4 linked regions of the Arabidopsis thaliana genome follow. The main gene of each other region encodes a partner of the protein of the gene in region 4 in a complex. Each region holds a gene or a part of one and is shown on either strand. Other genes may lie near its edges. A codon is read from its position in the direction of its gene.

What was found.
Region 1: the proteins of AT5G40810 (region 4) and AT1G15120 are in contact, whole or in part, in a cryo-EM structure (PDB 8BEL), measured with the Arabidopsis thaliana proteins. Residues at the interface, in NP_198897.1 of Arabidopsis thaliana: Glu66 (codon at 4,762), Ala67 (codon at 4,759), Gly70 (codon at 4,750), Leu71 (codon at 4,747), Glu72 (codon at 4,744), Pro74 (codon at 4,738), Asn75 (codon at 4,735), Tyr76 (codon at 4,732), Pro77 (codon at 4,729), Trp78 (codon at 4,726), Arg94 (codon at 4,570), Phe194 (codon at 4,188), Thr198 (codon at 4,176), Arg201 (codon at 4,167), Asp202 (codon at 4,164), Pro203 (codon at 4,161), Pro204 (codon at 4,158), Ala205 (codon at 4,155), Gly206 (codon at 4,152), Ile207 (codon at 4,149), Tyr215 (codon at 4,035), Pro217 (codon at 4,029), Tyr218 (codon at 4,026), Asp232 (codon at 3,984), Glu233 (codon at 3,981), Thr241 (codon at 3,957), Pro242 (codon at 3,954), Thr244 (codon at 3,948), Glu245 (codon at 3,945), Ala246 (codon at 3,942); in NP_172964.1 of Arabidopsis thaliana: Val6, Val7, Asp8, Pro9, Lys10, Lys11, Glu14, Tyr28, Val32, Ile35, Lys43, His44, Cys45, Thr46, Gly47, Tyr49, Phe50, Trp53, Gln54, Asp57, Ala61, Leu64, Phe65, Leu68, Lys69.
Region 2: the proteins of AT5G40810 (region 4) and AT3G10860 are in contact, whole or in part, in a cryo-EM structure (PDB 8BEL), measured with the Arabidopsis thaliana proteins. Residues at the interface, in NP_198897.1 of Arabidopsis thaliana: Asp65 (codon at 4,765), Glu66 (codon at 4,762), Leu283 (codon at 3,236), Ala286 (codon at 3,227), Tyr287 (codon at 3,224), Arg290 (codon at 3,215), Leu291 (codon at 3,212), Ser294 (codon at 3,203), Val295 (codon at 3,200), Ser298 (codon at 3,191), Arg299 (codon at 3,188), Lys300 (codon at 3,185), Leu301 (codon at 3,182), Val302 (codon at 3,179), Leu303 (codon at 3,176), Asp304 (codon at 3,173); in NP_001327236.1 of Arabidopsis thaliana: Lys9 (codon at 1,588), Ala10 (codon at 1,585), Val11 (codon at 1,582), Val12 (codon at 1,579), Tyr13 (codon at 1,576), Ala14 (codon at 1,573), Leu15 (codon at 1,570), Pro17 (codon at 1,564), Phe18 (codon at 1,561), Gln20 (codon at 1,555), Ile22 (codon at 1,549), Met23 (codon at 1,546), Gly25 (codon at 1,540), Leu26 (codon at 1,537), Lys67 (codon at 933), Arg71 (codon at 921).
Region 3: the proteins of AT5G40810 (region 4) and AT3G52730 are in contact, whole or in part, in a cryo-EM structure (PDB 8BEL), measured with the Arabidopsis thaliana proteins. Residues at the interface, in NP_198897.1 of Arabidopsis thaliana: Pro79 (codon at 4,723), Leu84 (codon at 4,708), Ser85 (codon at 4,705), Ser86 (codon at 4,702), Tyr87 (codon at 4,699), Asp88 (codon at 4,696), His89 (codon at 4,693), Ala90 (codon at 4,690), Arg93 (codon at 4,573), Gly119 (codon at 4,495), Val120 (codon at 4,492), Ala121 (codon at 4,489), Tyr122 (codon at 4,486), Thr123 (codon at 4,483), Glu126 (codon at 4,474), Ala129 (codon at 4,465), Met130 (codon at 4,462), Glu133 (codon at 4,453), Glu238 (codon at 3,966), Asp239 (codon at 3,963), Glu265 (codon at 3,765), Lys268 (codon at 3,756), Leu269 (codon at 3,753), Phe272 (codon at 3,269), Lys273 (codon at 3,266), Trp274 (codon at 3,263), Phe276 (codon at 3,257), Leu277 (codon at 3,254); in NP_190841.1 of Arabidopsis thaliana: Glu39, Val42, Asp43, Val46, Leu49, Trp50, Asn53, Asn54, Lys57, Arg58, Tyr59, Ile62, Ser63, Val64, Leu65, Gly66, Gln67, Arg68.

What each region holds. Positions count from the first base shown.
Region 1 is NC_003070.9:5,197,720-5,204,693, reverse strand, and holds AT1G15120 (Ubiquinol-cytochrome C reductase hinge protein), read right to left. Parts: upstream 2,047-6,974; coding exon 1,922-2,046; exon of another isoform or gene 1,824-1,921; coding exon 1,774-1,823; intron 1,630-1,773; coding exon 1,602-1,629; intron 1,211-1,601; coding exon 1,126-1,210; intron 1,012-1,125; coding exon 922-1,011; intron 867-921; coding exon 744-866; 3' UTR 501-743; downstream 1-500. Other genes in the region: AT1G15125 (S-adenosyl-L-methionine-dependent methyltransferases superfamily protein), read right to left, coding at 19-69; PSS1 (phosphatidyl serine synthase family protein), read right to left, coding at 2,706-2,913, 3,009-3,101, 3,187-3,440, 3,522-3,613, 3,702-3,786, 3,890-4,006, 4,092-4,171, 4,258-4,312 and 4 more. UniProt on the Arabidopsis thaliana protein: Component of the ubiquinol-cytochrome c oxidoreductase, a multisubunit transmembrane complex that is part of the mitochondrial electron transport chain which drives oxidative phosphorylation.
Region 2 is NC_003074.8:3,394,911-3,401,426, reverse strand, and holds AT3G10860 (Cytochrome b-c1 complex, subunit 8 protein), read right to left. Parts: upstream 1,853-6,516; 5' UTR 1,613-1,852; coding exon 1,443-1,612; intron 962-1,442; coding exon 913-961; 3' UTR 672-912; intron 616-671; 3' UTR 501-615; downstream 1-500. Other genes in the region: MES17 (methyl esterase 17), read left to right, coding at 1-199; GLY2 (Metallo-hydrolase/oxidoreductase superfamily protein), read left to right, coding at 1,905-1,951, 2,048-2,170, 2,576-2,737, 2,858-2,936, 3,083-3,196, 3,299-3,475, 3,597-3,671; AT3G10845 (RNA-binding (RRM/RBD/RNP motifs) family protein), read right to left, coding at 3,901-4,006, 4,125-4,148, 4,227-4,315, 4,403-4,517, 4,599-4,660, 4,781-4,856, 5,078-5,163, 5,252-5,332 and 5 more. UniProt on the Arabidopsis thaliana protein: Component of the ubiquinol-cytochrome c oxidoreductase, a multisubunit transmembrane complex that is part of the mitochondrial electron transport chain which drives oxidative phosphorylation.
Region 3 is NC_003074.8:19,541,052-19,548,107, forward strand, and holds AT3G52730 (ubiquinol-cytochrome C reductase UQCRX/QCR9-like family protein), read right to left. Parts: upstream 3,260-7,056; 5' UTR 3,117-3,259; coding exon 2,997-3,116; intron 2,696-2,996; coding exon 2,576-2,695; 3' UTR 2,218-2,575; intron 2,146-2,217; coding exon of another isoform or gene 2,095-2,145; 3' UTR 1,768-2,094; downstream 1-1,767. Other genes in the region: ACA1 (alpha carbonic anhydrase 1), read right to left, coding at 1-65; AT3G52740 (uncharacterized protein), read right to left, coding at 5,395-5,817. UniProt on the Arabidopsis thaliana protein: Component of the ubiquinol-cytochrome c oxidoreductase, a multisubunit transmembrane complex that is part of the mitochondrial electron transport chain which drives oxidative phosphorylation.
Region 4 is NC_003076.8:16,336,982-16,345,485, reverse strand, and holds AT5G40810 (Cytochrome C1 family), read right to left. Parts: upstream 5,624-8,504; 5' UTR 5,484-5,623; intron 5,316-5,483; 5' UTR 5,287-5,315; coding exon 5,227-5,286; exon of another isoform or gene 4,898-5,226; coding exon 4,686-4,897; intron 4,578-4,685; coding exon 4,298-4,577; intron 4,216-4,297; coding exon 4,144-4,215; intron 4,054-4,143; coding exon 3,937-4,053; intron 3,817-3,936; coding exon 3,751-3,816; intron 3,276-3,750; coding exon 3,159-3,275; 3' UTR 2,559-3,158; downstream 1-2,558. Other genes in the region: ATR (Ataxia telangiectasia-mutated and RAD3-like protein), read left to right, coding at 1-282, 473-1,093, 1,183-1,377, 1,477-1,626. UniProt on the Arabidopsis thaliana protein: Component of the ubiquinol-cytochrome c oxidoreductase, a multisubunit transmembrane complex that is part of the mitochondrial electron transport chain which drives oxidative phosphorylation.

The sequences.
Region 1 (6,974 bases), on a different chromosome or scaffold from region 4:
GATGTATATTATTAAAACCTGATAGGAAGAGTTGCGAGCATAGCTAGAAGCACCGTCTCCACCGTTCATGGCTATGTAATGGTATTGTATGGACTGGTATTACACTTGCTAACCCTTAAATAGAGGGTCAAATGGGAGAATCTACATAATTGCTGTAGAGTGTCAAGGATAAGATTCAGTCTAATGCAGCCGCCGCGGGCCATACATCTCACTCTCACTCTAAAGTCCAAGCTGTCCTTCAAAAGTGGCTGCTGCATGCATCACACACTCCACTAAACAGTTCTTCACTTCATTCCAGTCACATGTGATTTCACCATAAGACTATTCAACCTTCTTTCACCTTCAAAATTTTTTAAAAGAAAATATCTTCTTGTAGCCGCCATCATTAGATAGTTATCTTTTTAAGACCAATAAGCTTCAGAGTTAGTCCGATCATAAACTTTGGCAAGCTCTAAGAAATCCTAATCAATGGCCATAGTACCAGGCCACCTAATAGCAGAGGCTTGAAAATCTCTCTTTATTGAAACTTCAAGCCTAATGATTTGTTTGACGCATTGTCTACGACAATTGGACCAAAGAAAGGCACAACATATCTTGTTATTAGGCCATGCAATTACTCAAGTAGCAAAAAAATGTAGTAAGCGCAAACTTGCGATGGAAACAAAACCAAGAAGCAGAGCCATTTGGCAATCTGGTTTGCAGTAAAAAAAAGTTCAACATCCACTGCATTTTATACATCAATTTTAAACCACATGTAGCAAACTCAAGACAATAGAGTCTCCAGCTTCACCTCTTTTCATTTTAGTTTCGCAAACAGCTTTGGTGCAACCTGAAGATCCAAAATCCAATTTCATCTCAGTATCAAACTTTAGAAGATATCATATGATGAAACAGCAAAATAACATAATTCAAGTAACTTACACATTTGTCAATGCATTGCCAGTAGTCAAAATACTGGCCAGTGCAATGCTTGTGGCCAGAATCATCACCTTGGATTCTCTTGACACATGCCTGAGAACCACAAACAAGCCTTGTATCAGTCAAACAATGATCTTCACAAAACATGGCACTGTGTCAAAACTTATAACACAATTCATAATTAGTCACAACATCAACCAGTTTCACCTGATATTCGAGAAGTGGCTTCACACATTTTGGTTTGCAAGATTCCTCAAGGTACTTCTTTGGATCAACAACTTCATCATCTGCCCTGAAATATTCAGAAAAACCACAGGCATCGAGGATGCAACATCAATGGCTAGATATATAAACTACTCCCGTGTGAATGATGACATACAAGAATCGTCTTTACGAGCAAAACTAGAAAGAACATAATTATCTAGTTTTATCACTCTTCCTTACAAGATAAAGCTCTGATTATATGATGCGAAAACATAAGCCAGAAAAATGAATAGAATCGGATCTAATCATAGACCGACCCCTACACAACTATAGAGCCACAATAAAAAAAAAAAATGATTCCAGTCTAGAGATTCAGACACGAATACTAAAGGGTCTACATATGTTAGAGATCCATCTACACAACATGATTGGAGATTGGAGATTGGTAAGAAGGTATCGAGTTTAAGGAATAAGCTTACATGTTGAAAGTCAATTGGAAGCTGAAGACTGCAAGAGATAGAAATGAAAATTAATGTCAGACAACAACAGATTCGATTGGTTCGTGGGACGATGATATTCACAGATCTCAAAATGAAGAAATCGAATTTGGTATAAAAGATCCCATGAATAAAAAGAGGATTTTGGCGTTACCTGAGATTGAGAGAGGAGATCGAGACTCGAAGAAGCAAGGAAGAAGAACCCTACAGAGATGTTGTTTGAGTCAGTCTTCAGATTCATCATTTTCATTGCGTTTCCGACGGGCTACAAATATGCAATTTGGGCCTTTGATTCTTGAAACTTTAAAAGCCCATTAAAGACTCGAGATTCCCTAGCTTCTTGGAATTCTAAAAGCCCATTCAAGACTCTAGATTCCCTTAAGGGCATCCTATCCTTGTCAGAATATTCCTTAACTTCTGACATCATCCTTTTTTTGGCTTCTTTAAGAAAGTTGGAATAAAATAGGAAGTGATGATGGAAGAGTGATGTTAAGATTAGATAGATAGTCAAAATTGTCGTCGAAGATGTCAAATTACGAATTTGCAAACCTAAGATACCATGTGACATGTTGTTGGGCGGCACGGCAGGTCACACAATCTTAATATTATCCTCAATTTATCATATTTGATTCTTTCTTCTTCTTTTTTTCATTTCCTTCAACAAAACAAATAATCTGTTTGATAGAATGATGATAATACAAAATAATAGACCAGAATAACAAAACTGGAACCAATAATTAAAGACAGAAAAATTGAATGGTGGTAATGGAGTTAATGGCAGTAAAAGCACAATAATGTTGTTAATGTCATGTAAGAGTTGGCAGCACAAAACAATCATCTCAAAAACCAGAAGAAACAATGGCTCAATAACTTCTTCTTCTTTTTTTGAACTGTTGAAAACTTGAATGTGTGAATGGTAACAAAAAATTGACATTCAAACCAACATGTTTTGTCAGATTGAGGGGGCAGAACAAAGATGAAAGAACTTTTGATGCATGAAAGAATTGATGGAATCTTCGTAAATGTTGAATATCACACACTATCCCTAAAGAAAATTGCATTTACATCGTTCCTTCTTCTCCCTATTTACAAAAAAAAACCACAATGGCATTTCACTGTCTCACCTCTATTTCTCTCTCGTCTCTGCTGCAACAATAATGATGCGCTTAACGTCTCTTTTGCGCGAGGATCTTCTGGATCTTCCATGTCCAAGACAGCAAGAAGGCCACAAGTCCAAGTCCCACACTTCCCCATAGTGTCACTACCCACAATGGCATTTCTGTTGGGTACAATCCTGTTCGTATCATAACCATACAACCAAGTTTACACTCTCCACACTATGTAACTGTAACCATAAATAACTAAGGCAGAGCATGTGTAAGGAACCACCTACCACTTCCAAACTTGATGCAGATGAGAAGTTCTACTATGCATATCCCCAGTGACAGCCAACAGAATGCTCCCACCTTTTTCACAGGTTTTCTGTGAACAACCAAAACTACACAAGTTATATACAAAACTCTTTCCAAACTAACTCCAACCAATATCGCAGTGGCTATAGCTTTACCTGTCTTGAAGATATGAATTGTACTCCCGTGTTGTTGGTATCGCTATGAGCCACCACAAGATCAGCCTATAGAGAATCACTGGGTTTCGAGGGGGGATCCACAGGCTAAACTTGAGAAAGAATGTGTTCAGCTCCACTGTCAAGAATATGATGCAAAGAGTGAGTACTTGAATAAAACGCCAAGGTCCCTGCAGCGGATGCCACTCGTCTTTGTCCCAGTGAGCTGGTGTGAACTGCCCCAGTGTCCTTTTCACCTGAAAAAATATACAAAATTCTCATTGGATGTACAACGGCTAGGACCATGTGTATGCACTCTCAAGGTTGAACAAACCTACTTTGCCAATAATGTTAGGCTGGCGGCTAATGCCAACCCACTCATATGTTTTTCCATCAAAATATCGAACTGTATACATTCCTGCCCAGATACCTACCATGATTAAAACAAGAAAAGCTGTTATCCATAACATGTTTAAAAGCACTACATATAGAATAGCAAGGTAGCTTAAGAATCATACCAAACCAGTTGCATATCAAGATATCAAGAACAATACTGTCCCACCAGCACTCGTTGAAATTTGGTAACATATGCCGAAAAGTAACCTGGAGAACATAAATATAACTTTTCGGTGACACAGGCGAAGCGATATTTTTGTATATATCAAATTGGAACCTGTAATATAAGAAAACGAAGACAAAGACCAACCTCCAATAACTCAAAACCAATTGAAAGCACCCAAAGAAGCGGCTGGTTCCGGATCAGAATTGCTTTCCCCCACCAACCAAAGATGTGAGCCAAGAAAAACTCATCAAATACTGTGTCCTGATAAATTTTAATCAAAGCATAAGCCTTTAGGTGATATGAAGGTTGGTTAAGGTAAAGGGGAGTTGTTGAGAAGATACCCTACATAAAGATTCTTAAACCTGTTTGTTGGGTGATCAGGCACATATATACGGCAATCAGCACCGTATGATTTCTCAGGAAGTTCTGCAACATGAGCAAACTCAATAAGATGGTCAATCATTGATGTGGTAGCTCCTCGAATAAACAGCATTCCTCTCCGAAACTCTTACCTATTCCAAGGTCAGGGTGGAGAAACTTCATGAACTGCCGTGCATCATCACGTCTCTGGGAGCATGAATAATGTAACTATTAGAGTTTGCTCACTTAAAACAAGAATCCATATATAAATCACAGGCATAGGCAAGTAAGAAGGATCTAGGGAGGAAAAAAAAGTGAACCTGAAAGAGCAAAAAAGTAAGTGCAACTAAGTAAATGACGGCCATTCCATGAACTAAGCGCCAGATTGCAGGATGGGGCCTGATTAGAACCCTGCATAAAGCAAATTACTTGATTAAAGACACATCACAAGTATCACCAACAACCACAATCTACATTATAAAAGAGAAAGCAAATTAATAAAACAGCTGAGATGGTAAACAAACGTTGAAGGGGCCTGGAGCAAAGAGTAAGCAAGAAAGACAGCGATCATAGCCCACACTCCCCTAGAAAAGGAACATAAACATAGTAGACTAGTGTTAATTGATGGAATCAAATGAAAAAAGAAAAAAAAACATGATGTGGGCAGAAGGAAAAAGAGAACCTTTTGACAGAAGTGACAAGATCATCAGATGTAGTGCTGTCAGGATCAAGAGCTCCACTAGCCCAACTAAGTAAAATTCAAAACCAAATTGAGGATTACGAGAAATGGGCAGAGAGGTAAAAGGGAAGAAGCAGGAAGAAATGATGACTCACATGAGAAAACAAGCGCCAATAAGGAGAAGAGAGATAGTGCGAGGCTTGTAAGCCCATGCAGTCCATGGATCAAGATCAGTCTCAACATCACCACCACCACCATTCATTCTCCCCAAATGTTGTTCCTTTCTTCTTTCTTTCCTGTACCCATTGGGTTCCATGGCCAAAACCAGCTTCTGAAGTATTGCTGATTAAAAACAAAAAGAGAAACTTTAGCTGGGAGATGAGATAAAGAGGGGCCTGAGGAGCATCCTCGAGAGAAATTAATGAATAAAAACTGTAAGAGAAGAGAGACGAGAAAAGGCAGACAATGGAGTGTATACAGAGAGAAAAGGTACAAGGTACAAGCAGAGAGAGACAGAGAAAGGTTCTGTCTTTGCAGAGGTAAAAAAGCAGACGCAATATCAGAAGAAGATTAAACTTAAAAATAAGCCAAAGTAAATGAAAATGGTTAGCAATAAAAAGAAAAGAGAGGAGATTTGAGATACCTGAAGAAGAACCCTAGAGATTGATTGGAATGGGAGAGAATCAGAGGAAGAAGAAGAAGAAGTAGGAATCCAAGTAGTAGAAAGCTCGATGATGTTGATGAATAAAAAGAAGAGGAACGGTCAAAGTAGAGAGAGAGAGAGAGAGAGAGAGAGAGAGAGAGAGAGAGGGATAGATACGGCTTCTGCTGCTGCTTCTATTCACGATCTGAAAACGACTCTGCTTTCTTTCCCCCACGATTCCCTTTTTTTCCAGAACTACCCTTTGCTTCTTCTCCTTTTTATAGGCTATCAAATGGTGACATCAAAATATGCAATATTATGTGGTTTGGTCTCACTATCATCATCTATCCATATTATGTCAAAATTTAGGCCCTGATTTTTAATTTAGTTTTTGAGTTTAGATTTTAGTTTCTGAATTTTAGATTTTAGTTTTAGATTTTTGTTATTATATTTTTTGTTCAAAAAATCTCCAAAAAATGGTTTTTGGTTTTTGAGAAAAATAACGTTGATTGAACAAAAACTAGATTTCCTAAATTTTACAAAAACTAAAAAACTAAAATCATGAATGGAAAATTACAATAAAATAGTTTTACTAAATTGTAGGGAAACCAAAATTTTAAAATCTTGATTGGTATGAAAATAAGTTTTTAAAAAACAAAAACCAAAAACTCTTACAAAATCTACAAAACAGGCCTTAAGAATTTTTATTTTATTTTATGATGCGGTTTGGTATAAATGTGGTTTTGGTACATACAGTAATTGAAATTTGATGTGGATTCGTTTGTTAATTACTTGCCAACTTTATTTGAACCGCGTATTAACCATTCAAATTAGACCTGTTCAAATGTAATTTACATATATATAAAAAAATTCCAAAATTGAAAATGTTTGGGGAAAAAGAAATGTATGCAGGATGACTAATACAAATTTTAATTTGTAAAAGGAAATGTTTTGGTCACTCATAGTGTTAGAAAACATTTAGTCAAAATTTGATGGTTCCATACGCTAACCAGTGTTACCTTTCGTATTTATCATAAATCTAGTGTTTTCAGATAAAGGATTAAGTATATATGTAATGTTATTGCCTAATTTAACATAAACAGAAATACTATTCACATATTCTATTTGACAAAATTAATTCATGTTTCACCAGATTCGTCTTTAAATAATTTCTCTGATTAAAGCGGTTGTAATATGCGTTACGAACAAAAAAACGGTAGTAATATATACTCCATTTAAAAAGGCTAACATTTATGGGGTTGGAATGATACTCAATAACTCATATGATTGTTGTTTAATTGCAGCCAAATAAAGCACATCAAATGCCAAATTTATTAATATTCTCATTTAAGTAATTGATTTGACAGATATTCCCAAAAGTACAAAGGAGAAGCAGAGAATAACATCCCTAATTAGGAGTATCAAACAATTAATTTTATTTTATTCTTTTCATTGAATGAAAAAAGTGTCATATAATATGAAATTAAAGAGAGGCCTAACAAGTGAAGTGATGATATAGACTCTTCTATGTGCTTGAAATCGTCACA
Region 2 (6,516 bases), on a different chromosome or scaffold from region 4:
AGAGGAGCAAGTGCCGCGCGTGTACATCAAGACGTTACTCGACCGGGTCATGAAACCGGAGCAGCAAGACGCGATGATAAGACGGTGGCCACCTAGCCAAGTTTACGAATTGGAGAGCGACCATTCTCCTTTCTTCTCTAACCCTTTTGTTCTCTTTGGTTTACTCATCAAAGCTGCCGTTTCCGTCGGTTCTATCTAAAACTATTTAAAGAACTAAAGGATTGCCTTTTGTTGGTTTTAAAACCGGTTAAGTGATCAGTATTGTCGAGGGAGTGTTTATTTATTTTTGATTTTTGTGACATTTTGGTATTTTATATTAATCGTTTTGAAATAAATTATGTTTTGCTTAATTTTATCTTGCGTCACAAAAGTGAAATAAATTTCGGCAAATCGTGTAGTTTTATATAAATCACTAATTTGCAGTCTTCCAAGGTCTACTTAAAGTCCTAGCCGGTATCGACACCAACTTCACAGTTACCTCAAAAGCCTTAGACGAAGAGAATGACTCCGCTGAACTGTACTTGATGAAATGGACAACATTTCTAGTCCAACCAACGACTCTGTTCATCACAAACCTTGTAGGAGTGGTTGCAGACTTGCAGTGTTTGATTTTGCCTAATAGTTGTTTGTAGTTGATGTCTTAAGGGAACATAGGCAGCGTTTGATTTTGCCTAATAGTTGTTTTGAGGGATCAATATATTACTCGATTCAATCCAATTTTCATACCATATATCAAGAAAGATGAACAACAAGAGTCATTGTCATGAAACCCAAACATTTATTTAGCAAAAGAGTTTCAGAAAAACTGACTCAGAAGATTCCCACAAGAGTTTTTGTGAAATTTATAGGCTTGAAACAAAAGAAATTACTTCAAACTGTCAGGTTCTTGTAGAAAAGGAGTGACTTCATGCTTCAGAATCTGTGCTCAAGCTTCTCCTGTTCCTTGAAATACTGAGCATACCTGCATTCATTGTGTGTATTTGAAAGAATAAGCACAAAAGATGACTAGAAACTAGACCATAATATGCAGCACCCGTAATGTTTAGATCGATCAGGTAACTAATAGCTTCACAAGCAAGAACTCAACAGTTTTAATAGAACCACACTAATCAGCTAATGATTACGACTAAGCCATTTAAATCCTCAACATCTTGAAATGCAATTCCACAGAGTGGTTCATCAACAATACTAATTTGATACCTGGAAGACTTTTTCTAGCTGAGAGTCTCTATATACTACACTCCACTTAATACTCATCTCAAACTAACTTAAATCCTATCATTTCTCATTTGTTCCTATGACACAAACGAAGAACCCTATATCCATATGCGCCGCACAAGACCGATGACACAGATCGAAGAACAATCAACCAGATCGGAACTCGATCCAAAGGTTCCTTTACCAATCGATTGATGAGAGAGATAGAAAGAGAGATAGAGTACCAGTAGGTTCCAACGACAGGGGTAACGAGAAGAGTGGCGCTGATCCAATTCTCAGAGACCTTGTGGTGGATCTTCTCCGGCAGATCCTTCCAGAGACCGGTCATGATCTTCTGCTGAAACGGAGAAAGTGCGTAAACCACCGCCTTCAATTTCACCGGCTGCTTCCCCATTTTCTTTTTCTCTTCCCAGATAATCCCAACAACAACAATCCACAGTACGAGAACGAATCTCCCCCAAAACCTAAAATAAACAATTCTCAACGAAGCTTATGTTTTTTATCCGATTCCGGTTCAGTTACAATTACAATTGAACCGGATGACCGGCTGCAAAATTTATCCTGATTTGTTTCGGTTCGATCCGGTTTGAGTAAACCGAAATAGATAAATCACTAGTCCAGACATAAATGATGATGATGATACAGCTAGTGTTCCGGAGGAGAAGGACGATCGATCTAAGGAGACGATGAAGATCTTCCACGTTCCTTGTCTGCAAGACAACTACTCTTATCTGTGAGCCATTTTGATATCCTACTTCAATTTCGTTGCTTCTTAATCTGACTCGGTTCATCATCAGTTTAGGATTCTTTCTTCGTAAAAAAAAAACAGGATAATCGATGAGAGCACCGGAGACGCGGCGGTTGTGGATCCAGTTGATCCGGAGAAGGTGATCGCATCGGCTGAGAAGCACCAAGCTAAGATCAAGTTCGTACTCACTACGCATCATCACTGGTAAGTAAACCTCACTTCTCTCTATGTCACTGGTAACTTATCTTATTTGATTCATCTCCGAGATTCTCTGTTGGTTCTTATTACTCAGTGATATCGACATATGCTAGATTCCGGTCCTAGACATTAACATTAGTACAAGTCTATTGTTAAATCTCTCAGTTTTCTGATCAAGTGTTTAGCTTTTTCCTACTATCAGTTTCAACTGACTTAGAGATTCATCTTCGTGAGTCTGATTCTTTGTTAAAGTCTGATACTTTCTGCATTAATGTTTCACCTCTTGAAGATGCAAGATTTATTATATATGTACCATATGATGGTTGCCTTTGTCTTCGATGAAATTTGGATTTGAGGCGACGTTTTTATTTTAACACTCATTGTTTGATTGGTGGCTTGATATGATCAAAGGGATCATGCCGGTGGAAACGAGAAGATTAAGCAGTTGGTTCCTGATATCAAAGTATATGGAGGTTCTCTGGATAAGGTGAAGGGTTGCACTGATGCGGTTGATAATGGTGACAAGCTGACTTTGGGTCAGGATATTAACATATTGGCTCTCCACACTCCTTGGTTTGTTTTTTTTTTTTTTTTTTTTTCCAATGAATTTAGATGCATCTAATCTACTTGATGTTTAACTCAGTCATTTTCTCTTGTCATCGCTGATTCCTCTGATATATCTACTTGTTACAGTCACACCAAGGGTCACATTAGTTATTATGTGAACGGAAAAGAAGGAGAAAACCCAGCCGTGTTCACCGGAGATACACTTGTAAGTGGTAACATTAAGCTGAATCCTCTTGTTCTTCCCTACCATGGACCCTATATGTTCTCCGTAGATCTTTTATCTCTGTAAATGTCTAAATGGAGATAGTTATGAGTTAAACATTAAGCTGTGTTTACTTTGATTTTATACAGTTTGTTGCTGGATGTGGGAAGTTTTTTGAAGGGACAGCTGAGCAGATGTATCAGTCGTTGTGTGTGACTCTGGCTGCATTACCTAAACCGACACAGGTTTACTGCGGCCATGAGGTAAAAAAATCAACAGCTTCATTATGTCTTTTGAGTTCTTAACTCATAAAAATGGATGCCTATAAACTGAATAATCCGCTATTCATTTCTTATGGTTCTCAGTACACCGTTAAGAACTTGGAATTTGCTCTAACTGTGGAACCAAACAACGGGAAGATACAACAGAAGTTAGCATGGGCCCGTCAACAGCGCCAAGCAGATCTTCCCACAATCCCTTCAACACTGGAGGAAGAGCTCGAAACAAATCCATTTATGCGTGTTGATAAGCCAGAGATACAGGTTATTACTCCATTTGGTTCATCTTCTTGAACAATTCATGATTCGGTTTTATCAGCTATCACTGTTGATATCGATCTTTACTTTCTTGTCGTATATCGAGATTAACTTTGTTATTTTCCAGGAGAAACTCGGTTGCAAGTCGCCAATTGATACAATGAGGGAAGTTCGGAACAAGAAGGATCAGTGGAGGGGATGATGATAAATGGAGAGCTTCTTGCCTATGTTTTGTGTACTTGTGTTGAATGATCCTGTAAAAGGTGTATGAACCAGTAATGTTGATATTCTGTGTGAAACTGTGAACCGGTTTGGTAAACCGAAATCAGACCGACCTGTAAGCCGTACTCCCTTTTTGAATTTTCAGTTTACTATGGATAATAATTTCAGTGTCTACACTAATCCCCGTAAAAAGAGAGCTTCTTCATCTTCTAGCAGTCGTCCCCGTAAGAGAAGGTAATCTTCTTACCGCAGAATCCGTTGGATTTTGCCTTCTGTTGCTTCAGATTCGATTCTCGTAGAAGGTTGTCTTCGTACCTGCATTGTATCAAAAACCCTTGTGATCTCTCCCCATTTATACGAAAAACTTCACCGAATTTGCCTTTGATAACAAAAAATCTCTTAAAGGCAAAATAGTAGTTAAAAAATCCCTTACCAAAGCTTCTCTGCAAGCTTGTACCTAATTAACAAAAAATGATAACGTTAATCTTCTGTTATGACATCAAAACTAGAGCAATAACATGGAAAATCAATGTACATGTGTTGGAGAGGGTATGGAGCTATCTCAGCCAGCTCAAGAAAGATTTTGTGATAGCGCAAACTTTTACCATTCCTCTGTTCCAGCGCCTACAGTATAAAAATATTTCATCAAAACAATTTCATCATATAAGTAAGTATACACTAGTTTTCATCATTGCTATAAAAACTACTCACCTTCTCTGCTTCATTAGCAGAAGCAAACTCAAAATAGCCACAGCCCATATGCTTACCCGATTGGTCAACAATAAGTCGAACACGAACAACTTCAAAGTCTTGGAAGAAATACAACCTGTAAACATGAAGAGGATAAAACATCAGTCATGAAAAACTTGCTCCAAGAACGAAAGAGTAAACTAAAGGTGCTACTTACATCCTTTGTATACTAGTTCTAGGAGGGAGATTGGTAACAAAAAGCGTCTTTTTTCTTGCTTCCTGTATTTAGCAGCCAAGTGTGTTAGCATGGCTCTAAGGAGGTAACAGTTTTGTTATCAAACACTTGAGCATTTCCCCTCTGAGCCTGACATATTTTGAAGATGATAACAACACGCGTACCTCAACAAAATAGGGAGTTTCAGCAAGTCCTTCCACTGCTGCCTCATCTCTTTCTTGTCCAAGGTAGTCTTCGTACCTGGAACATTAAACAACCCTTGTGATCTCTACATGTATACCAAAAACTTCACCCAATGTGCTCTTGATAACAAACCCTCAAGATGCAAATAGTTGAAAATTCCTTACCAAACCTTGTGATCTACGCACCACCTAGTTAAGAAATATAATATTAGTGTTAGTCTTCTGTGGTGGCAATAAGTTGACAGCAACAAATCTCCATAACATGGAAAATTAATTTACTTGGGTGGAGGGAATGGAGCTATGTTAGCCGCCTTAAGAAAAATCTCGCCATCCTGCAAATATTCACCCTTCTTCTTTTCCAGCGCCTAGAGTATAAATAAACGGTTTAACTAATCAAATGACTGCGACTTGTATACATTACTTTTCATCAATTACTAGAAAAACAACTCTCACATTCTCTGCTTCCTTAGCAGAAGCAAACTCAACAAATCCCTTGCCCACATGCTTGCCAGTGTGGTTAACAATTAGTCGATGCTGTAAAAAAGTGGAGGATAAAATATTAGTCATGAGAAACTTGCTCCAATAACGAAAGAGGAAATCTTAAGGTGCTACTTACATATCTGATATTATAGTCTGGGGAGTAAGATGGGCAACAAAGAGCGTCTTTTTTTTACTTGTGGCAACAGCCTGCGTTTAACAGCCAAGTGAGTTAGCACGACGCAAAGAAGAAAAGGACTTAAGGTTGCACAAAAAAAAAACACAAGATTTCTGTTATTATTATTAAAGGTTTCTGCTGAGCCTGACATATTGTGAAGACAACAAGAAGAGGTACCTCAGCGAAATCGGGAGTTTCACCATGTCCTCTCATCAAAATGATCTTATGACCATGAAAATATTCACCATTCTTGTTTTCCAGCACCTACAGTATTAAAAAGATTTAATCAGCTATCCAGCTTTCAAAAAACTAGTAGTATGTTTTTCATCATAAGTTTGTATACACTAATTTTCAAAATGACTAGTAAAATACTAAAATCGTCCATCATGACTACAAAACCAGTCTCACCTTCTTTGCTTCGTTGGCAGAAAGAAACTCAACAAAGGCACAGCCCACAGGCTTGTCCTCATGGTTTGCAATAAGTCGAACACTAACAACTTCTCCAACATCTTGACAGAAACCGAAGCTGCAAAAGTGGAGGGTAAAATATGAGTGATGGGAGAGTTACTTTTTCTTTGCTCAGAGAAGAAAAGTGGGAGTGCTACTTACATATCTAATATCTTAGTTTGGGGGGAGAGATTGGCAACAAAGAGAACTTCCTGTGCATTATACAGGAACAAGTGTGTTAGCAGGAAACAAGGAAAAAGTAGCTAGCAAGATTCAGCCCCAGAAAATAAGTAAACATTTCGAGCGTTTTGAAGATAATGAGGGCAGTAGGGTGGTACCTCAGCAAAATCGGCGGGAGGTGTCTCATCTTCTTGTCGTGGAAGGAAGTCTTGGTACCTAGAAAAATGGAAAACGCTAGTGATCTCTACATGTATACAAAAAAACTTCAAAAAAAAGTCTTGTTCCCTTACCAAACCTGGTGATCTATGCAATACCTAATTAATCAAAAAATGAAAAGCCTTAGTCTTCTGTGATATTGTATCAAAAAGTCTAGCAATCAGTTACAAAACGTGGAAAAATCATGTTTACTTACGTAGGAAGAGTCAATGAAGAGCTT
Region 3 (7,056 bases), on a different chromosome or scaffold from region 4:
GCAGGTGCAATGCAGATGAGGGACATGGAGAAGAAGCAGAGCTTAATCATCATCATAATCTTCATCTTGTGTTTTAGTTCCTGTTTTGTTGGAAATCTCTGCTAAAAAAAAAGGGAGAAAAAGGGTTTGCATTAAGAAAAAAAGATGAAGAAGATATATTTTCCAAATCTGGAAACTAATTAATGAGTTTTTTCTAAATTAAACCTGTGGAGGGTTTTATCAGATTACTGCATGACTGACACGGCGGGAATGGCTCTGCTATATATAGCCCTCTCTTCTTCATTTTTTTTTTCTTAAAATAAAAAATAAATAAAGGAAAACAAAAGTTAAAGAAAAACCTAAAAACTAGTGTTATCCAATTCCAAGTGATTTTCTGTGGTACGATATTCCCTAAATAAACAAACTTAGGGGTGGGAGATCATCATAGGTCTATGTTATTAGTTTAATACGTTTTCTAACATCGTATTATTAACATAAAGTTCTTTTTATCTTGTCAACATTAAAATATTGTAATTATGTTGTGTATTTCTTTTAGTATGTACGTGGGTCAATTTGTAGTAATAGTGTTGACCAAAAATTACATAAGTCAAGGAGTTCAAGTCGTTGGTCAATATCATTTTTGGAGGAAAGAATATAAGCTAAATTAAGGTATAGACTAGAGACCACATTTTGTGTGCTTTTATTGGAAAACTTCCATCAAAGATGTGGAAACATAGGAACCTCTGTATGTCTCTTTACATGCAGTTAAAACGGTCCTAGCTATAACGTTGATTCCTTTAGGTTTCTATTTCATGGATCCGATCCAAAGATAATAGATGAAAGTTTTCGAATGTGTTTCTTTTAATTTCTTTTGTAAAGACCTATATACTAAACACTTTTTTGTTAAAACATTATACAATATTGTCAATTTCAAAACTTTAACGAAACAAATAATTGTGTTATCTTTTTGGTGTGTGTTACCTTTTCGTATAATCCACAGATGGTGCCTGCCCCATAAAAACCCGTCTCCCATTTTTCTTTCTAGCTTCCCACTTCTTATCGAGAGAAATCTTTCACTATTCTTAATATATAAACTGTTTATTTAAAAGAGCATTTCATTTAGAGAAATGAAAAAAAAAAAAAAAAGAGAGGCAATTCTCAGAAAACGTAAAAGAAAAAGTGAAACATGTGATGTGATGATCAGGTAGGGGCGCAGAACATAACATAACGTCTCAAGACAAAATGTTTTCGGAATATTCATTTGTCCATATTCCGACTCCGCGAACATCACATTTGCGCTTCCTACTACGATTTCTAAATCTCTTGTCGCAACAAACAAAATGCATTATGCGAATCTATGGATGGATAATTCCATTTGAAAGATATGTATTGATTGGTTTGCACGATGTTGATCGTCTCTACATGCATGGCCTTTCGAAAGTAGTGGTGCAAGTTATGTGATTTATGATAAAAGAGATCGTCAAAATCTAATCTTGAACTTTTGCCCCACAGCTTAGTGGAAGTCTTTCAGCTATGTGCACGAAATCGAACCAATGTGGTTTTGTCGGTTTAATTCCCACTTAATTCTGTAAATTCAAGAACGATGATGCTCTATCGACAGTGACTTCTCTGGTTATTCTTCAAAGAATTCGTATAATCATTAATCTTCTTTCTTTTTTGGGATCCAACATTTGAGTAAACTGATTGAAAAATCCTTCCAAATTTGACCCTTGGCAAACAAATGGAAATCTCCATGATTACTATTTCTCGAAGATGGATGAAATTAGACCTCAGAATATGGGCACTGCATATTAAAGCGACGCTTCAAGAACCCAAAAGTGAAGAAAAGGACGATTCACAAATGGGCGTTTTAATGGACTTGCTTTTAATAAGGGACAAATACTTGTAATGCCAAATGACGATTTATGATAATGTTATCATATTCCACAATGCAAAAATTCAAGTAATCAGAACCAGATAGCTTTAGGTGAAATATGAATCATCCCAATGATTTTATATTTATTCAACAAAGAAAGAGAGACGTTGGAATGCAAAACAACATGGAAATTTCCAATTCTTGCTTTTGGTCTGAAGAGAATTCAAAAAGAAGAAAGCTCATTCCTCTACTGGCCTTTGACCCAACACAGAGATGTCTTCATATCGTTTCTGCGCCATGACAAGAAAATCATTGTGAATACGAATATAACCATTCTCTTTCAGACTTTCACAGATACTCACACAAGGCAGAAAAATCAGGATGTCGAAGGTAGAGGGGGAACTATACACATTCCAATAGAAGCTAGAAAAGGTGAATCAGGCATCAATAGATTTTCGAAAAGCATTCACCTATTAGCTAATAACACTAACAACAAGCAGAGATTACAGAAGATGATTACGACGATGACATGAAACCAAAGAAGTGTGTGTAGAAAAATGTGATCATTCCATATCTCAAGATGGGCAATAAAGAGAATGAAGAAACAGTTATTACCATCTAGACTCTCTAGTTCAAATGACAGACAAACATTAACATCACCAATACTAAACATTTCCGAAACAAAATGCAGAACTTCGAATCAAAAGAGTAACAAAAAAATCATTCATCGTCAACATATTTAGGCATCAGATTGCATAAAACATGATTCAGAATACAAGAAAATAAACATACCCCAACATTGTTGCGTTCCCAGAGCTTATGAACACCGTAATCCACAGCCTGCAACCACAGATTTTAACATTTCATGAAAACTCCATTGTCTGTTCATGTAAACCTCTTCACATATAAGACCCCAAAAAAAACAACTTATCACCAGATTCTTCTCACAAAAACTATAATCTCCAGCTCTCTATTGTAGATTGATTAACCTCTCCAACGAAATTTCTTCACTAAGATTATCATTTGACAACACCAAAATCCCCAATTTCGTTCCAATCAAACCATACACACAAAAACCAGATCCGGTACAATACGAACCCTAATAAGCTATAACACAACCAAAAAGGCTCTGATCTCTTACCCGTTCACCGAAAAATGCGCCGGCGATGATGAAAGTGACGTAGACGGAATTACGGCGCATGATAAGTTTGTAAAAGCCTTCGAAAGCGCCTTTCTGATTTCTCCGAGCAGCGTACTCCATGATTGATTGGTTGTTTTCAGGTATCTGATCTCTCTACGTATTTTAGGGTTAGAGAAAGCGATCTACGACAATGGCGAGAGCGAAGAAGAGAGACGATGAGATTTTTCGCAACTAATCAGAAATGATTCTCTTTTGACTAGTTCGTATCTAGAAAGGCCATTTGGGCCTCAATAGTTCGGCCTCGTAGCCCATTTATTTTAACGGACCCAGTACGGCCCTAAATGTTAAGCCCATTTTGACACCCCTAACATTAGCAGAACAATCTGAGTTTTGGTTTGTCCCAAATCCCCAAAGAAATTCAGGCCCAAAATAATTTATTCGAATAAGTAGTTTTGATTGGGTATTTGAATATTTTTTTGAATGTTTGTATATTTTGGAGAAGTATATATTCCTATTATAAGATTTTTTTATTTTTTTTGCTAAGAAATATTATAAGATGTTATTCGAGAATGAGTATATATCCCTGTTCATTGAAATAAGACATCAAATCTCTTTTATCTATATTCAAAGGATTTTCTTGATACAAAGAAGGAAATCAAATTCTAGCAAAGAAAAATTAAAGGTATGATTTTTCTTTAACAAATCTACAAATTCTTTGGTTTGATATGAAGGAAAGATATGATCATCAGAAAACAGTGATTTTGTTTAAAGCTCGTTATATATGATTGGATTCATATGAGAATTCAAGTATGTAAGCGAGTATAACTCAGTCTTGTTTAAATTATTTTCATATTGAAATTATGTGGAGAGAAAATCATATGCAAATAAGTTAGAAAATCATGGATCCACATAATTCCAATTTGAAAGTGATGAGCTCTATTCAGTTATAGACTTGAAGTCTTGTAATCTCTTATGAATCTAATCATAGCGAGCTTTAGGTAATATCACAGTTTTCTATGATCATACCTTTACTTTAAATCATTCCAAAGTATTTGTGGATCTTCCACACTCACGTACTCATTCTTGGGGGATTTTCATGGAGGTAATGTCAAATGAATTCATAGCTTTCGATTTCTCTTTGCTTTGAGTTTGATTTTTTTTTTCTGATTGTATTAGGAAAATCTTTTAAATCTAGAGAAAGGAGAAAAGAGATAGAAGATTTCATGTTTTATTCTGATGAATAAGGGTTTTTTAAATATGAGTTCAAAGAAAGGGTTTTACTTGGTGACAAAGTAAAATTTGGAGTATAAACACTTCTAAAAGATGGACTTTATAATGGACATTCATCTATTATTAATAACAATGTTATGTATAGTGGGGTTTTTTAACGGGCAAACATCTTTTGGGTATTTGAGTAATTTACATATCTAAAATCATATTTCACGAGCAAGTATTTTAAAATACTTTGACTTAGGTATTTTGGTACCCATAAGCAATTTTTCACATAAGAACTCAAATATGTGTGTGAACTGAAAGTAATAACTAACCAAGGTCGTCGTTTCTAGATTCCTAAGTAAATAACTAATCAAGATTTCTTTTCAATAAGTCCGCTCTGATCTCTTTAATCGCGTTGTTACATAGTTACATGTCTAACTCATGGCACAGAGAGAGATGCCAAATAAAAGGGATAAATGTTGAATTGGACTTATAAGAAGCTAAGAACATGATTGGGCATGTTTGGGCACATGCAAAAGGAGCATTAGGAAAACGGGCAAATGTCACATTCACAATTTGATATTCTGAAGAAAGAAAAACTGCTGATTCAAAATCTTGAGGTTTTTAACAAAAGAATCCAAAAGAGCGAACCATATTCTAAAATTTAGAGCGGACACATTGCAAATATTGAACTTTGAGAATGAGGATATTCGCTTCCCTTCAGATTTATGAACTACAAATATGTATATTTATACTTATATACATTACTCAAATCTTACTTTCCTTATATCTGAAAAATGCAATAAAATTTCTAGTACTGATTATAATTTCTATTCGAATTTTTTCTTTTTAATTTTAGTTTTGATATCTTTCTAAACTTTTAAAAATTTTCCTTAAAACTTTTTCTAGATATCTATCTTTTCCCTGGAATATTAGATATTCTGATAGTTGTAGAGTATAGATGATATGGACGGATCGAATCAAAAGTATTAAAAAACAAAATCACAAAATCCGTTCTACACTAACAGAACAACTAAAGGCAACTAAACACACTCAATTTGCAATGTTTCATAAAGTTACGAGTAAAATGAGTTAGAATATTATCAACAATGTAACAATAGTGCCTTATATTATTGAGGAACAAGAACCACATTTATAAGTATGTTATCTTATTATATTAAATTCAACGTAAGATCAAGCAACGATTATGTAACCCACCAGAAGCTGAAGCAGCTCGCCTAGCTTCCTCTACGAGAGCAGTACGTGCAGACGAGATTCCGGCAGGGACTAGACACGTGTCAAACGTTGAACAATCGATCCAATCCTTAAGAAGCTCTTCTTGTCCCCATATCTCCGGTATCCAAACCCTACCAGCGATCTCTCTCCGATGCTTCTTTAACCTCTCTCTCCCAGTGTCCACTCTATCTTCTTCTTGACTCTGCTTCGGTTTCTCTTCAAGCAAAGCTAGATCTTTCTTGTCGGCCGAAACAGAAGAAGCTGCTTCTTGGGGCAAACTTGGCGGATCTTGTTTGGTTTGGTCGGAAGGAGGCTGAGATGGACCGATCGGGTGGGCCATTGGAGACGTCGTATCGTCGATGTTCATCATGATGACACAATAGTAAAGCAGATTCAGATTCTTGCAGGAAACAAAAAGATGAAGAGAGATGTGTGATTTTGTTTGTGTTGAGAGATTCGGTGTTGATAATATGTATTTTTTGTTGGGTTATGTAAGGAAATGAGAAAATCGGGTGGGAGGTTGTCTTACACGTCGACGTAAGTTTTTGTTTGGTGAATAACTTTTTTTATTTTCGCTTTTGTTGTATTGTATGGTAAGTGACAACTTTACGTGTCTTTTTTGCAGATTGAATTGCTTTGGCCCTTAATTTTTTGAGCCTATATAAATAAATAAATAGTCAATATAGAATTAAACTATTGATTAGATAACCTAAAATTCTATCAAGTGATCAAGTCTATTGTAATTCATTTTTTTTATTTTTTTGCAAGTGATCAAGTCTATTCTAATGATTTTTGCCAGGTAAAACTCTCAATTAAAGGAATTTTTTTTTTTGTGTGACCAAACTCAACTAGAGGATCCTTTATAAGTAACTTTCAATTAGAGGATCTTAATTAAGAAGAGATTTAAGAGAGAAAACGGGCATTTTGAATAATCTTGTGTCTCCTAAAAACATAGGGCACTAGTCAAACAAATTTTGAAGAATCATTGTTTTTTTTTCATTCAAAATGAAAATATGTAATTAAAGAGATTCAGGTTTTCAACTGTTAATATTTTGAAATAATGTTGGGGTCGTATGTAATTCGTGAATACTCATTAGTTATGTGTATATAGACTATAAGAAAGCATTCAAAGCGGTTGGATTTTTTGGGAGGATCATGAGGCTGATGTTGATTTAGGATTTATTCCAATGAAATATGTTTAGGTGGGGATACATCGGAATTAATTGATCCTGATAATGAAATCGACAAAATAGTTAATAAAAAAAAATGTTTTTTGTTTCTGTTTCTAAACGTTTAATCTCAAATACAACATGGCGAGAGAGAAAACAATACAAAATGGCTACAAAACTGTTTTTTTTTTTTTTTTTGGCAAATAAAATAATATTTTCATAATGATTGACATATAGAGGTTGCAAAACTTGCAATGTAAAAGTACTTTCTCACGTGGCCGTATACGGAATTCATTTGTCTCTTCGATAACTTTAATTTTCCTTCGATCAAATTCGTTTCCCTTTTAATCATATATTTCATGGCCTCCCTTTGAATATGTTTTCTTTTTGCTTTTATACCACCTTGCATGAATATGTGATCACGTAATTATATATGTTGA
Region 4 (8,504 bases):
TTTGCTAGTTTGACTGATCATTTCATTAAACTATGCTTCCATGGAGGACAACCAAGATCCAAGGTTATCAATATAGCAACTGAATTCAGTGCCTTGAAAAGAATGATGCCGCTGGATATCATCATGCCAATTCAACAATCTCTTACCATTAGCCTACCAGCATTCCATATGAATAACAATGAACGACACTCTGCCAGTGTCTTTTCTGGTTCAGATCTACCAACTATTTCTGGTATAGCCGATGAAGCCGAGATACTTTCTTCCCTTCAGCGCCCAAAGAAGGTATGCTTTTCCATTTTTCATGGATTGAAAGCTGTCAACCTAATTTCATATGATTTTCTGCTCTGCTCTCTGCTTATATCTCCTTTTATATGTCTCCCAATATGCATTATACCATGGCATAAGATCAGTTTATCTTCAAGAACCAGTCCTGCAATATGCATGTCCAATAGATTATATTTTTTATATTCAGATCATTCTGCTGGGAAATGATGGTATTGAGTATCCATTCCTCTGCAAGCCCAAGGATGATCTCAGGAAAGATGCTCGGATGATGGAATTTACTGCGATGATAAACCGCTTACTATCCAAGTATCCCGAAAGCAGACGAAGGAAGCTATATATCCGCACCTTCGCAGTAGCTCCTCTGACTGAGGACTGTGGTCTGGTCGAGTGGGTTCCACATACACGTGGACTCCGCCATATTCTACAAGATATATACATTTCCTGTGGGAAGTTTGATCGGCAGAAAACAAATCCTCAAATTAAAAGAATATATGATCAATGTGCTGTTAAAAAGGAGTATGAGATGCTGAAGACCAAAATCCTCCCTATGTTCCCTCCGGTTTTCCATAAATGGTTCTTGACAACGTTTTCTGAACCAGCTGCTTGGTTTAGGTCACGTGTAGCTTATGCTCACACCACAGCAGTTTGGTCCATGGTTGGGCACATTGTTGGGCTTGGTGACCGTCATGGAGAAAATATTCTCTTTGATTCTACTTCGGGTGATTGTGTTCATGTAGACTTCAGTTGCTTATTTGACAAAGGCTTACAACTGGAGAAGCCTGAGTTGGTGCCATTCAGATTGACCCAGGCAAGAAACTGCAAAATCGTTTGTTTGTGTTCTGTTGGTATTTTGTTTTCGTTTGTCATAATAGTGAATTGTTATTTTCCAAACCACAGAACATGATTGATGGTTTGGGCATCACTGGATATGAGGGCATCTTCATGAGGGTATGTGAAATCACTCTCACAGTGTTGAGGACACATAGGGAGACGTTGATGAGCATCCTGGAGACATTCATCCATGATCCTCTTGTGGAGTGGACAAAGTCACACAAATCAAGCGGAGTAGAAGTTCAGAACCCACATGCTCAGGTTTGCATAATCATTTAATGATTCTCTTTCATGTCAGTTCATTTACCCTTTCTTTTTTTTCTAATTGCTTGAGACAACCACATGATTTGGCAATTACAGCGGGCCATAAGCAGCATTGAAGCCCGGCTGCAGGGCGTGGTTGTTGGTGTTCCGCTACCGGTAGAAGGTCAGGCTCGCCGGTTGATTGCCGATGCAGTCTCACTTGAGAATCTTGGGAAGATGTACATCTGGTGGATGCCCTGGTTCTGATGAAAATCTCTGAACACCAGCTGTTGTTAAGTTCACACTACACCAGTTTTCATAATGCCATTTATGTTAATACAGTAAGTTGACATGCAGATAACACTATCCTATGAAAACATGGGTGGCTACAAATCTTTTTGACATGCAGATGTTACTTGTATCATAGGCTCCTTGTGCACAAACTTCCTGTAGAAGTTGAAGCTAAAACAGTACATAAGCCAGGTCTCGCACTGTTTCATGATTCTTTGTGGAGAACGGTCAGTAACAATAGTGTTAACTGGAGCGGTCTTGGCTGCAAAAGTTTTGAATGCTTGAAAGGTCTTAACTGAGCCGGGATTTTGTTGGTTGCTTTGATCTAGCTCTGGTCATGAGAAAGATAGGTTTGTTAAGGTTAAAGTGAAGACTGATTTCCTGATAGATGATGTTTGGGTTTAGGCGATGGGAAAATCCGAATCGGATTCGATATTAGCAGCGGATCAGGCACGTTTGCTGCTAGAATGGCTGAAAAGAATCTGAATATTATCGGTATTACATTAAATATAGATGCTCCTTTCAGCGAATTCATAGCTACAAGAGGGATTTTTCCGTTGTTCAGAGGGAGTTTGGATTAGAGATTCCCGTTCTATGACAATGTTTTTGATCTCATTCATGCTTCTAACGGATTGGATTTAGCGGTTAGTAGTAAACCCGAGAAGCTAGAGTTCTTGATGTTTGATCTTGATCGGATCTTGAAACCCGGTGGATTGTTCTAGTTAGACAATTTCTATTGCGGTAATGATGAGAAGAAGAGAGTTCTTACGCGTTTGATAGAGAGGTTTGGGTATAAGAAGTTGAAATGGGTTGTTGGAGAGAAAACTGATGCTGAGGTTTTTCTCTCGGCTGTTCTGCAGAAGCCTGCCAGGATTTGATTGGTTTTTTTCTTCTTTTTAATCAAGATTTTGATCTTTTCATAGGTTATAAAAATTTGAGCTCATTACATTTTTATAAATATTGATTCCAAGGGACAATTAAAAGTGTGGACTTGTATTTTGAGGTTTTGTCCGATCCTGCATGTTTGTTTCATTGTCTGTAGGATTGTGCAATTTTGTTTGGTAATGTCTTAACGGAACTGGTTTTACATTAACGGGTCTAAATCCTGCCTACATTTTTCTAAGTTTTACAAAATCGAGTTCGCAACAGAGGTAAATTGGTTGTTCTGTGGAGTTTTGGTCTATCAGAAATAGACCACAGATTTTAACTTTTTAACTTTAATAGTTACAAAATCATGTTTTGTGATATACAAATAGGAGAGAGATTGTAAAACCACATTTTTATTAAGACAAACCGAGTCCGGTTTAGGAGACAACAAACCAAAAAGAAATAATATAATCTCAAAATCATGTGTGACTTGAGGTTAAAAAAGCTTTACTTCTTTGCCTCATTAGACTTTCTAAACAATAAACAAAGAAACATGTCTTTTGAGACAAAAAGTGGGATTCACCATTTATCCCTTTCAAGATTAATGATTATTACCCAGAGAAAAGGTGATCTTCACGGGATTAGTTAACAACGTCGAGAACAAGCTTACGGGATTTGAGTACTGACCATTTCAGTCTCCTGTAATACGCAGCTTGAAGCAGAGCCAAAGACAGTAAGAATATCCATTTGAACCCCATCTGCACACACATACAACCAACGTTAACAGATATCTAAGCACAAAGAGTTGGATTCTCGGTATAGCGGGTTTTTTTGGGTCGGTTTAGAACCAACATGACGGTTTTGAATACAGAGTAACAATACGGTTCATGTTTGATAATAGTTTTGGTCTGAGATTAGCAGCCTCAAGAAACAAGCAGTAGTGTGGTCAACACAACTATGCAACTAGGTGTGTTCAACACAACTATGCAACTAGGTGTGTTCATCCCGCTATACAGAAGACAGAACCAAGGAAATCTTAACACGGATAAAATGGCGATACTTTTTCTACATCCAAAACCAATCTATACTATGCCGGTTTAAGTTTGGTAACAATTTTCTCAAACTGAATCTGAAAATCAAATAATCAGAATCCAGATTGATATTCCTATTGCAATCTCGTACATATGGAAACGACAGCTTAAAACATGGAATATATGAAACTAAGAAACTTACCAATTTCCTCTCTTCCATCTCTGGTTCAGCTGCCCAGGACAAGAAGGATACAACATCTTTACCCATCTGCATCATGTTTTTTAAAAAAAGAAAAATTAAAGATTATATAATTGACTCAGAGGAAAGGTCAAATCTGATAAAACTTTATGGTCTGCAAATTATTTTCTTAAGCAGAGGAAAACTAACCTGTGCTTCTGTTGCAGGAGTTCCATCTTCATATTCCACAGCTTCATCGTTGAGCATTTTTGGCATAGCGATTGCTCCACCAGGGAAATAAGGATTGTAGTGTAGCCCCTCTCTGATCTGTACCCGTTAGTCACAGGATTATTTCTAACTTCCAACAATTTGAAGTTGTAATAACAAGTCTAAAGCAAAAATAGGAGAGAAATTTACCGAAATTCCAGCAGGAGGATCACGATAACCAGTCAACAGAGCAAAGACATAATTTTGGCCATTGTGACGTGCCTGGAAGAAAATAGCCAAATTGCTTAGATCATAGTAGATGAATTTTCTAATTGTATACAAATGGAGAGAAAGAGCACCAAACCTTAGTTACAAGACTTAGATCCGGTGGATACGCTCCTCCATTGGCGAACCTAGCAGCCGATTCATTTGAGTATGGTTCAGGAAGCCGATCACTGAGTTTACCAGGTCGGGTGAACATCTCACCCTCATCATTTGGTCCATCAACAACCTCGATTTCAGCTGCCATGGCCTTCGCCTCTTCCTCTGTGTAGGCAACACCCACCAAGTCTCGGTATGAGATCAGAGACATCGAATGGCAAGACGCACAAACTTGCTGATAAACTTGGTGACCACGACGGATCCTGCTCATTACAAATCAACCGTCAGTAAAGCAGTCTCAAATTTCTCTAATTTTCAACTTTAGTGTTGCAATTTCACTATGATGATTGAATTGTAGCTTGAACACTCACGAAGCATGGTCATATGAGCTGAGAATGCCCTCATGTGGCCAAGGGTAGTTAGGACACTCCAGACCATGTTCAGCCTCATCAGCAGATGCAACAGTAGAAAAACTCAATAATCCGGTAATACCAGCACCCATGAGAGCAAATGCTCTTAAACCAGCAGACCCAGCATCTTCATTCGCTTTCTTCGAAGACAACCATGACAATACCGGAGTTGCCTATGGTGGTAGATAATACAGAACAACAGTAAGAAAACAAAAAAAAAGGCCAAGACACAAGAAGGTGTATGCTCAACAAATCAAAAGACTACTTTTTCTGAAAAGAAATCGAATATTAATCATACTCTCGAAGCACAAATCAATAAGTCTAAGTTTCTTATATCCCAAAATCTCCAACGCCACAACAATTCCAGTTACAATTCTTCAAGGACAATCTCTCAGAGCAATGAAGGTGTAGACAGAACCAAAACAAATCATATGATTCTATCTTCAAACAGATCCTAAGCTACAGCAGAAAATCAAAAAGATGTAACAGGGAAAAAGCTCACGACTGATTGGGAATGAAGTTTCCTTCTAAGAAGCTGCCGGATAACTCCTCCTCCAACCATTGGATGAACACTTGTACCAATCGATCTCACTGATACAAACAGAGAAGATTCTCAGCCATTACATATACCCGAAACAATGAGTAAGCCCTAGAAAACTCGATTCTCTATATAGATCCGAAGTTCCAACAAATAAACAAAATTGAATGAAGAAATGGCAGATTCGGATATGAGATGTGTCGAATCGAGAAAATACTCACAGGAAAATGAAGCAACGAGATCGGCGATTGACGAACAGAGGAGGAGGAAGAAGAAGAAGAAGAAGAAGAAGAAGTAAACAGCTACCAGAGAAAATGGATGTCTCCGGATGACGCGACTGGACTGTCACACACAACACAACAACACCTTTCAGATTTTTCAAGTATCATGGGCCTAATTTAATCCATTAAAAGCCCATTAAGGGCCTATCCGTACAGTCAACAGCCAAAAAAAATATCTGGAATATTTCTCATTGGAATAAATGGACCAAATCTTGAAATTTAGTAAAGGGAGACTTTGTGTAAATGATCTATGTGTTGTTGTTTTTTTCAATAGTGAAGAGTTCATTAGTCCAGAATGTTCAATTACAAAAAGATTAACACAGGCTGAGATCGAGATCACATTCTGGCTTGTTTAGTAAATATGTCGATCGATAAATTATTATGGCTTGCATTAACTCATTTTATAGGGTCCAAAGCGAGGCTGCTTTGAATCTAACATGCATTATTGTAGTTCAATATCGAGAGGCGCAAATTTGAAAATACAACATATGTTTCGTATGCTCTCGGGATACTACATCGACTCCAAAATTATAATCTTCCTTAAACTTGAAAATGTGTTTCAATTTTACATAGTACGGGAAAATGTAAATGAGAAATTACATGTTCGCTTTTGCTAGGTAAGTTCATATATTAATTCCCACAGGTTTGTGAATGTTCATGGTATGTTTAATATCTGTTACTCATCTTGAATATCTTTGCTGAATAGAATCTCTTATACCTAAAAACAGAATTTTAATTAAGCAGGAGAAATTCTCATCATGACTCAACTCAAGCCGAATCATTAGGTTTTTGCAATCATAAGTTGTGGTTCGGAAAACGAATTTGGAATCATCAGAAAATTAATGAATGAGACATCGTCCTGGAAGCTTTTCTACATATTTTCAAGCCACGAAACAGTAACTTTCTTAATATGTTGATTGGTGAGTCCTTTAGTGTCTCAAGTGGAAGTAGTTTTTCATTTATGAGAGATGATTTAATATGAGTCGGTTTGAATGCTATGCATTTCCTTTCGTGTCTTAGAGAAATGCCTCTATTATGTTTTGGCTTTGGGGAATACCTCCTTTAATTATGTTTTAAACTTTGTGATCTTTGAATCACTCCTTCTTGTACTTGTTTTTATGTGAATGAATGAAAACAAGCCTTTGTAAAAAAAAAAACATATTCTTCTCTTAACTTTATCTACAAGGACCATTCAGCTTTATCAAAATTAAAAGCTATGCTATTATCTTGTCTAAGAGCTAGATAGCGATCTGCTTTTATTGGTGGTATGAAGGAAAAGTATAATTATATGATTAAGTATGTCATTATAGTAATTTTTCTACCTAAATGAATGTTAATTAATTTAGTTTATTTTGGGATGAGGCACCTCCCCAGCAGGTATCTTAATAACATATCAAATAAGGGTTTCGATTTGAGACATGTTTCCACATTGTATCACGAATTGTTCATCAGTGCCTAATTAAGAAAATATACAGTTTAAAATTTGTGATTTTAAAATAATAGTAATTTTCTTATAATTAAAAAATATTTATGTATCATGACCAACGCCTATTTGCTTGTAATGTCGGGTTACTTTCACTCCTTTATCAAAATTGTATCAAATTTTTGTATTTGCGTATAATAATTGTATTATAATGTTTATATATTTTGTAACCTTGTTTTATATCAATATATCTGATTTGACAAACAAAAAAAAGAAATTAAACAACCTAACATTATTTCTTTCAGAATTTAGTGTGTGTTTATAGGATTTTAAATCTAATTTTATATGAGGTATTAGATAGTGGTAATGTATTATGTTAAGAAACGAACTTAAATAATAATAAAATAATAAATATGATTTTTATTGGGTTTTATGACAAGTGAAAAGAATCCACTCTAGCGTATTTCAGTATGTTTTTACCGATAGAATTTATCCCAAAAAAAAATGACAAGGTGAAAGAATACTTATGCTTTTGTGTGATGTATTATGTAAAGGTAATGAAAGATACGTATGATAGGTTTATTCCGTGAAATGTTTTTCATAGATATCAAATGCAAATGATAGGTTTATTCCGTGAAATGTTCTAACCGAACCTAAATGATTAACACACCCAAAACCACACCAAGATGACTTTAGCTATAGAATGAGAGCACATCCCTAGAACCGGAGCTACATAAGTACATAGATCCGACCATAGGACAATGAGAAGACCTTATGGGTCATTGCTTTACACTTCCATAAATAGAGACACAATATATACACATGTATATATTTCCAAATGTGCCCTGACATGCCAGTTTTTTCAATTTTGAAATGGAGGACACTTCATGCAATTTGGTTGGTTGGGAGGACAAAGAAGGACCATACAAGAGTCTTGAAATGTGGTAAAAAACACCAGATGCTGTTTTAGCCTGATCATGGGACCCATACACCTAATTTTATCATATACTTATAAATCTCATATTAATAAAGAGCAATAAGCCAATCAGATCACACATCGCAGTTCCCAGAATTATTTGGGTGCTTTGGATAACCATCCAATTAAATTATCATATAGACCTATGTGGAGAGAGATATATGTTATAAAGTCACATTGCCTATAGTATAATTTAATGTTTGTGTGTGCCTGCTTTTTAATCGGCTTCGACCATACATATTTGTTTATTTCCTTTATATGGAGAGCTTAGTTGATATATCTCGAATCTCAATGCTCGTTTAAAGGATTCGAGCCCGAGATATTTCAGAAGATTTCAGTCATATTTTATACAAATACTTGCTGCTAAGTAGTCTACCATGCCATTTATAGCTGGAAAATATCATGCAAAACCGAACCATCTCCTTTCCGTACAGTTTCTATATTGCATAAATTGAAAAAGAACTAAAAAAAATTTGATTAGAGCCACAACTGAATAATAAAGCTATAAAAGTGGACTGAATACCAATATACCATCTTGTACAATTTTGTTTAGCATGTAATT